2 linked regions of the Sus scrofa genome follow. The protein of the gene in region 1 purifies or fractionates together with the protein of each later gene. This does not show direct contact. Links are inferred from orthologs where the notes say so. Each region holds a gene or a part of one and is shown on either strand. Other genes may lie near its edges.

Region 1 (3,541 bases):
CAGGCATCTGTGACCTACACCACAGCTCACAGCAACGCCGGATCCTCAACCCACTGAGCGAGACCAAGGATCAAACCCACAATCTCACTAGTTAAGATTCATTTCCACTGCACCACAACGGGAACTCCTGGATCCTGGGTCTTTTGAAGTAAGGAGGGGAGACACAGCAAGGCGTGACACTCTAGGTTCTGTTGGCATAGCAGCCAGAAATTCTGGGTTTAGGGGACCCTGGATTCTGCTTTATAAGCATCTGGGTGCCAGAGTCTGGCGTCCTATCCCGGAAAACACTGAAAGGCTAGATCCTTGGTCCTTTTCTGAAAGCGCAGGGCGATGGGCCCTTGGGTGTTTCAGGGTGACTTGGCGGGGGGCAGCCCTGCCGGGCCTGAGGAGTAAGCCCCGGGTGGGGGGAGAGGGAGCCAGGGAGCCCTCACCGCAGCGCATGCCCACTGATGGCCTGAGCATGGCGAGCAGCTACTGCCACAGAATTGAAAAAGCAGAAACCGCAAGCCGAGTCCCTTTCTGCGTGGTGTCCAGGGGGGCGCACCACGGCAATACCATTCAAAACCTGGGGAAGGGGCAGGGAGCAAAGATGAGAACATGCACCCTCACCGCTTTCTCTTCCCTTTCTCTCCTCTCCCCTCTCTCCTCTCTCCGGTCCCTCTATTACTTCACCAGCTGCTAGGGGGCCCCAGCCCTGGAGCCCCCATCCCTCCCTGGGGGTGCCTCCCCCGCCAGCAAGGCCTCTGGTGAGCTGGGGGCCCCTCCCCATCACAGACCGCTGCCAGCGCCCCCTTTTCTCAGGCCGGGCCAAATTCTCAGAGCTGCCTCTTCCCCCACCCCCACCCCCACCCCCAGAACTTCCTCTCCTGGAGCCTAAGGTCCCCTCCCCAAAGTGGAGGCACCTCTCCTGCCAGCACAGCCTCCACCAGGCGGCAGGCGGCGCCCGCGGCCAGCTGCGCACAGGCGAAGGTGCCAGGGCAGATGTAGATGGAGTCATAGTTGGCACCCTCGCGGTGCAGCTCCCGGGTCCTCATCTTCTCCGTGGCCCGGATGCGACTCACGTATTCAGCACTGGAGGCACAGTGGGGGGTGGGGGGGTACTTGGGGGGACGGTCAGGTAACTCTGTCCCCTCCGTGTCCCTCCCATGTGTCACAGCAGCTCCGTGTACCAGAGAGGCAAGCCCAGGCTCCAGCCCCCAGGACGCCCATCCCACACCCCCACCCCCAGCTGCCGGGGTCCGACCTGTGGCAGGCAAGCAGCTCAGCATCCGTGGCGGGACGGGCGGGCAGAGCGAGGCAGCGCCCGGCGAGGCCCAGCTCCTCCAGTCGGCGCATGATACGCAGGATGCGCTGAGGCATCTCGGGGTGGTGGCTGGGGGTGGGATGGGGGGAACCTGAGGCAGGGGGCTTTGTGTTTGAAGGGGGGGGTCCCTCCCTGGGAGGGTCCCTCCCCATGTCCCCACTTCGCCTGGCTCTCTGACTGCATACCTGTCCCATAAGTTGTAGTGATCCATCATCTGTTGGTCGTAGACCAGCCCTGTGCGAGCCTGCAGCACCGGCCACGCCAGCATCGGTAGCTCAGGGGGCTGCCATGGTTCCTCCTCCTCCTCCACATGGTCCCCCTCCACGGTGTCCTCGTCCTCCAGGGTCTCAGCTGCAAGGGGAGGCCACAGTCACCCTCCTCCTACTCCCCCCACCCTGGATTCTCCAAATACTCTGGAACTCAGTTTACCCAAACCTCCAAAGGGGGCGAGGCCTGGAACCAGGGCCCACTGAGAGAGAAGGGACCTCCACCAAGGGACCTCCCACTGCTCATTCCCCCATCCAACTCCCCCCCACCCAGCACCCTCCACACCTCCTACCAGATCTCACAAGGACCTCCCAGAAGGGCTCAAGGGCTTCCAGAGCACAGGATAGTGACGCCTGGGCACTGGAGGGCAAGGGGAGGGCAACGTGACCCACGGGCCCCTGAGTGGGGCAGTGAGGGTCCTGCTTCTCCCCTTCTCCACCTGGGCTCACCTGGGACAGGGGGCGCCCGGGAACTCCAGCAAGGGACAAGGGTCTCCCAGAAGGGTGTGGAGTGAGGCACTGACGCCCTCAGCCAGGGAGCGGAGGTTGTAGCCGCCCTAGGAGGGGGAATGTGAGGGCTGTCAGCGAAGAAGCAGACATTAGTGGGTGCGAGTAGTAACAGTGGGTTGCTGACTACATGTCAAGCAACAAGGCTCTGAAGGCTGACTTTGTGTCACTGGCTGCACAGCACTATGAGGTAACCACTATTATGATGCCTGTTTTACCTAAGGAAGATGGAGGCCCAAGGCAAGGTGAGTGACAGGTGAGGCTGCCCAGCTAGGGAGGGGAAATGATGGGACAGAAACACCTGCTGGGCTGGCAAGTTGTTCTTTTTTCTTTTTTTTTCTTTTTCTAGGGCCACACGTGTGGCATATGGAGGTTCCCAGGCTAGGGGTCGAATCAGAGCTGTAGCCGCCAGCCTACACCACAGCTACGACGTGGGATCCGAGCCGCATCTGCAACCTGCACCACAGCTCATGGCAACGTGGGATCCTTAACCCACTTAACTCAGGGATCGAACCCGCCACCTCATGGTTCCCAGTCAGATTCGTTAACCACTGTGCCACGACAGGAACTCCTGGCAAGTTGTTCTTCTGTCTTCCAGGTTCCACAGGCTGAGAGCCGTAGTGGGTCACTCACCTCCAGTGAGAGGATCAACTTGCCTCCTGCCAGACCCATGAGCAGATGAGTTAGCTGGGCGAACCCTGCCGGAGTGGCGGCCATCTCACCCTACGGGGGACGTGGAGGGTCAGCGTGGTCCCCTTCTGCTCCCCACACCATCCCAGTGAGCCAGCCTTACCTTGGGGTCCCCTTGGAGGGCATCAAAGCCAGCGGCTACCAGGACCAGCTGGGGCTGGAACTGCAGGGGGAAGGGACCACATGAGGCCACCTGCCTTCACGGCCCATCCCTCAACATACCCTGCCCCAACACACCCCTGCCCCTCAGGACCTCAAGGGCGACTGGCAGCAGGAGGTGCAGGAAAGCAGCAATGTAGTCGGCATCTCGCATCCCCACCTGCGGACAGGGAGGCATGATGGGGATGTCCTGCTGTCTACCTTGAAAGGCCGGGGTGGGCCTCACGTTGGGGGCAAAGGGTGGGCGGACATTGACCTGGTTCCAAGGCACATTGATGGTGTATCCCTGGCCTTGGCCAAAACCCGTGGTGGACCAATTAGAGGCCTTAAGGTGGGGCCAGAACCGACCCTGCTCATAGCGGTGGATGGAGAAATAGAGGACGCTGGAGGCAGAGAAAAAAGAAGAGGAAGGGGTTGAGGAGAGAGTCAGTCTCCCCAAAAACCCCCAACCCATAGTTACCACAGATTACTCAATTACTCTTTCATTCTCTCCTTAGTTCCCCCACTAATTCTTTTTTTTTTTTAATTTTTATGGCCGCACCTATGGCATATGGGCCAAGGATTGAATTCGAGTTGCACCTGTAACCTATGCTGAGGCTGCAGCAATGCCAGATCC
Region 2 (4,222 bases), on another chromosome or scaffold:
AGCAAAGCCCTAGGCAGACCTGGAGACAGACGCCCGAGGGCAGGCCAGGGCCCCCACCTGGACCCCTCTGCCCTGTTTCCTTTGTGGGAAAATTCAGCTTGTCACGGCCTCGGAGAAGGTGCACCTCCACGCTGCCCCGCTGGGCTTCCTTCGGCCACTCACTGCCCACTGGTGGCCCCCGCCTGGGTGCAGGCTCTCCCTGCTGGACAGGCAGTTCCCAGAGCAGGGAACCACTGGGAACACCCGGGGGCACCCAGGTCTGACCCCGTGTTTGGTGGAGAGACCAGGGCAGGAGTGGGCCCCAGCTGGTCCCTGCTGCCCCACCCCCCTCCCCCTAACTCCTCTCTGGCACATTGAATGTCCTTCCCCAGTCCTTGGTGGCCTCCAGATGGTCTAGGAGGGCAGTTCAGCTGTGGCTGCACGTGACAGACAGACGATGGATGGTGGGTCCCAGAGCTGTGCTCAGTGGCCCTGCCTGCCTGCAGCCAGCAGTGCTTGGCAGCTGCCTGGGTCGCCAGCTAATGGCCCAGGCTTGGCCTTGGCTGGGTGTGACCAGGCAGCCTCAGCCGCAGCCCAGCTCCATGGGAACAGCTTCTCTGCTCTACGGAGCCCACCTCTCCTGGGCCTGCAGCAAGGGAGGCCTGGAGCCCTCTTCACGGGGAACTTCCAGCCCCCAGCCCCTGGGGCCTGTCCTGTCCCTAGAGACTGCAGTCCTGAAGCCCCTGCTACGTGTCTCCAAGTCCCCTGACTCAAGCATGCCCCACCATAGCCCTCAAGCCCACGGTCTCTAAGTAATGTGCCCCCTTAGCAAGCTCAGCACCCCCACTTAGCAAGCTCAGCACCCCCAGTCGGGGCCCCCCCTTACCCAGGCTTTCTGGGCAGCAGAGCTAATGTCGCCAAGGGGAGGGTGACTCTCTCATCACTCCTTTCCCCCACCTGCTCCTTAAGCATGCACCCACAGCAACCAGGGACTCTCGCATCCGTGCTGACCCTTGCCCACAGGGGCGCTCACTGCTTTGGGGCATCCACATTCGGAGGGTGCCGGGGTGGGGAGACCCGGAGACCAGCAGGCCGGGTGCAGGCCTGGCCAAGCGGGGCCGGACCCGACACTGCTCAGGCGGGCGGCGGCCCACTGTTGGGGCCCAGCACCCAAGGGCGGCCGACGCCAAAACTCTCTCCCTCCTCTTCCTCAATCTCGCTCTCGCTCTCTCCTAGCCAGTCCATCTCCCTCCCTCTTTCTTTTTTTTTTTTTTTCTTTTTTTTTTTTTTTGCAAAAGGAGGGGAGAGGGGGTAAAAAAATGCTGCACTGTGCGGCGAGGCCGGTGAGTGAGCGGCGCGGGGCCAATCAGCGCTCGCCGTTTCGAAAGTTGCCTTTTATGGCTCGAGCCGCCGCGACTGCGCCCCATAAAACCCGGCGGCGCGACGCACAGCCACAGCCGAGACCGCGTCCACTCCGCCAGCACAGGCCCCTCGCCCTTGCCGCTCCGCCTTCGCCGCCGGTCTACACCGCTACCAGGTAGGGTCCCCGCACCGGCCGGGCCGCTGATGCGCTGGGCCCGTGCCTCTTGTGGGCAGGTGGCCCCCTCCGCCCCGGCCCCGTGGACAGCCGGCCGGGTGCCGGGAATGGACTCATGCGCTCCTCGTTCGGGGCCCGGGCTGCGCTCGGGGAGCGCTCCCAGAGTGTTTCTTTGGGAGCCCTAGCGGCGGCGATTCTTTGTCCGAGCGGGCCGATCGCTCCGCCGGCGGGAGAGCAGTGCAGCCGGGCGGCGGGGCGGGTGGGTGGGCGCGGCGCGGTGGCCGAGCCGGGTGGGGGCTGGGACGCCAGTGCGCGTGCGTGTGCGCCGTAGGCCCAGGAGGCGAGGGCGGGGCGGGCGGCCGGAAGGGGTGGGGTCGCCGCGGCGCGAGAGCGCCTGCGCGCACTTCCTCGCGGAGCCACGGGCCGCCCCGGGTGTGGTCGCCGCGCGCCCGCCGAGTGGCGCTTTTTGGGCGGGGCGGGGCTGGCGCCCAGTGGGGAGGGGGCGGAGGCCTGGCTTCCTGCCGCGCGCCTCGGGGCCGCCTCCGACCAGCGTTTGCCTTTTATGGTAATAACGCGGCCGGCCGGCTTCCTTTGTCCCCAATCTGGGCGCGTGCCGGCGCCCCCTGGCGGCTCGAACGCGCGTCGCGCCGGAAGTGAGTAGGGCGGAGGCGGCCGCACCCGGCCTCCGGCTCACGGTCCTGCTGCCCCTGCAGTTCGCCATGGATGACGATATTGCTGCGCTCGTGGTCGACAACGGCTCCGGCATGTGCAAGGCCGGCTTTGCGGGCGACGATGCTCCCCGGGCCGTCTTCCCCTCCATCGTGGGGCGCCCCCGACACCAGGTAGGGCGCCGCCCTCGGGTCTGACTTGGTGGGTGGGGTCTTGGTAGCAGGTGGAGGGAAGGGGGAGGCTTTCTGCGTGGGGGCCGGTGGGGCCGGGCCCGGGCTGAAGGCGCCTCGCCCCTCCTTCCGCAGGGCGTGATGGTGGGCATGGGCCAGAAGGACTCCTACGTGGGGGACGAGGCCCAGAGCAAGAGAGGCATCCTGACCCTCAAGTACCCCATCGAGCACGGCATCGTCACCAACTGGGACGACATGGAGAAGATCTGGCACCACACCTTCTACAACGAGCTGCGTGTGGCCCCCGAGGAGCACCCCGTGCTGCTGACCGAGGCCCCCCTGAACCCCAAAGCCAACCGTGAGAAGATGACCCAGGTCAGTGGCCCACTGGGCTCTCTCGGGCGGCCGCCCCCTCCTCTCTTGCCCCTCTTTGCCACGCCCTTTCTCACTTGTTCTTTCTTCTGCCATTTTCCTAGGACTTTTCTTCTCTGACCTGAGTCTCCTTTGGAACTCTGCAGGTTCTATTTGCTTTTCCCCAGCTGGAGTCTTTCTCGTGTTTGCCTTTCTGACTAGGTGTTAAAAGCATAAGGTGCTGTGGGTGTATAGGTACTAACACTGGCTCGTGTGACAAAGCCGACGAGGCTGCCGTAAAGGGGCCTCGGAGTGTGTATCCCGTAGGTGCACAGTAGGTCTGACGTGACTCCCCGACCTGGGGTCCCCAGCACACTTAGCCGTGTTCCTTGCACTCTCTGCATGTCCCCAGTCCGGCCTGACTGCCCCCGGCGGCTTCCCGAGGGTGACAGCGTCCCTCCCTCCCTCCAGATCATGTTCGAGACCTTCAACACCCCAGCCATGTACGTGGCCATCCAGGCCGTGCTGTCCCTGTACGCCTCTGGCCGCACCACTGGCATCGTGATGGACTCCGGAGACGGGGTCACCCACACGGTGCCCATCTACGAGGGGTACGCCCTGCCCCACGCCATCCTGCGTCTGGACCTGGCTGGCCGGGACCTGACCGACTACCTCATGAAGATCCTGACGGAGCGGGGCTACAGCTTCACCACCACGGCCGAGCGGGAGATCGTGCGGGACATCAAGGAGAAGCTGTGCTACGTCGCCCTGGACTTCGAGCAGGAGATGGCCACTGCCGCGTCCTCCTCCTCCCTGGAGAAGAGCTACGAGCTGCCCGACGGCCAGGTCATCACCATCGGCAACGAGCGCTTCCGCTGCCCCGAGGCGCTCTTCCAGCCCTCCTTCCTGGGTGAGGACGCAGCCCTGGCCCTGCCTTCCCCCCGCCCCCCCTGGCTCACCCGGTGGTGGCCACAGCGGAAGCTCAGTCGGGCTTCTCTCCCCCCTCAGGCATGGAATCCTGCGGCATCCACGAAACTACCTTCAACTCCATCATGAAGTGCGACGTCGACATCCGCAAGGACCTCTACGCCAACACGGTGCTGTCGGGTGGCACCACCATGTACCCAGGCATCGCCGACAGGATGCAGAAGGAGATCACGGCCCTGGCGCCCAGCACGATGAAGATCAAGGTGAGTGCCCAGCCTGAGCTGGCCGGGTGCGGCCGGGCGGCGTGGGTGCCACGGCAGCCGCCGCGGAGCGGGTGCTCTGGGGACCAGGGCTCTGACCGCCACCCGCCTCACTGTCCCCTTCTCCTTCCAGATCATCGCGCCTCCAGAGCGCAAGTACTCCGTGTGGATCGGCGGCTCCATCCTGGCCTCGCTGTCCACCTTCCAGCAGATGTGGATCAGCAAGCAGGAGTACGACGAGTCCGGCCCCTCCATCGTCCACCGCAAATGCTTCTAGGCGGACTGTTAGTTGCATTCCACCTTTTTCTTGACAAAACCTAACTTGCGCA

Evidence for each region. Proteins that work in one complex are often made in the same cells at the same time.
Region 2: the proteins of HDAC6 (region 1) and ACTB purify together in Homo sapiens (affinity purification with mass spectrometry; 3 studies listed by BioGRID, with this or other methods). This does not show direct contact. The link is inferred for Sus scrofa from reciprocal best matches to the Homo sapiens genes HDAC6 and ACTB.

What each region holds. Positions count from the first base shown.
Region 1 is NC_010461.5:42,931,704-42,935,244, reverse strand, and holds part of HDAC6 (histone deacetylase 6), read right to left. Parts: intron 3,309-3,541; coding exon 3,182-3,308; intron 3,086-3,181; coding exon 3,020-3,085; intron 2,930-3,019; coding exon 2,870-2,929; intron 2,800-2,869; coding exon 2,710-2,799; intron 2,127-2,709; coding exon 2,020-2,126; intron 1,931-2,019; coding exon 1,863-1,930; intron 1,655-1,862; coding exon 1,489-1,654; intron 1,373-1,488; coding exon 1,244-1,372; intron 1,072-1,243; coding exon 903-1,071; intron 566-902; coding exon 432-565; intron 1-431.
Region 2 is NC_010445.4:4,087,553-4,091,774, reverse strand, and holds the start of ACTB (actin, cytoplasmic 1), read left to right. Parts: upstream 1-1,391; 5' UTR 1,392-1,516; intron 1,517-2,229; 5' UTR 2,230-2,235; coding exon 2,236-2,358; intron 2,359-2,490; coding exon 2,491-2,730; intron 2,731-3,177; coding exon 3,178-3,616; intron 3,617-3,714; coding exon 3,715-3,896; intron 3,897-4,026; coding exon 4,027-4,170; 3' UTR 4,171-4,177; exon of another isoform or gene 4,178-4,222. UniProt on the Homo sapiens protein: Actin is a highly conserved protein that polymerizes to produce filaments that form cross-linked networks in the cytoplasm of cells.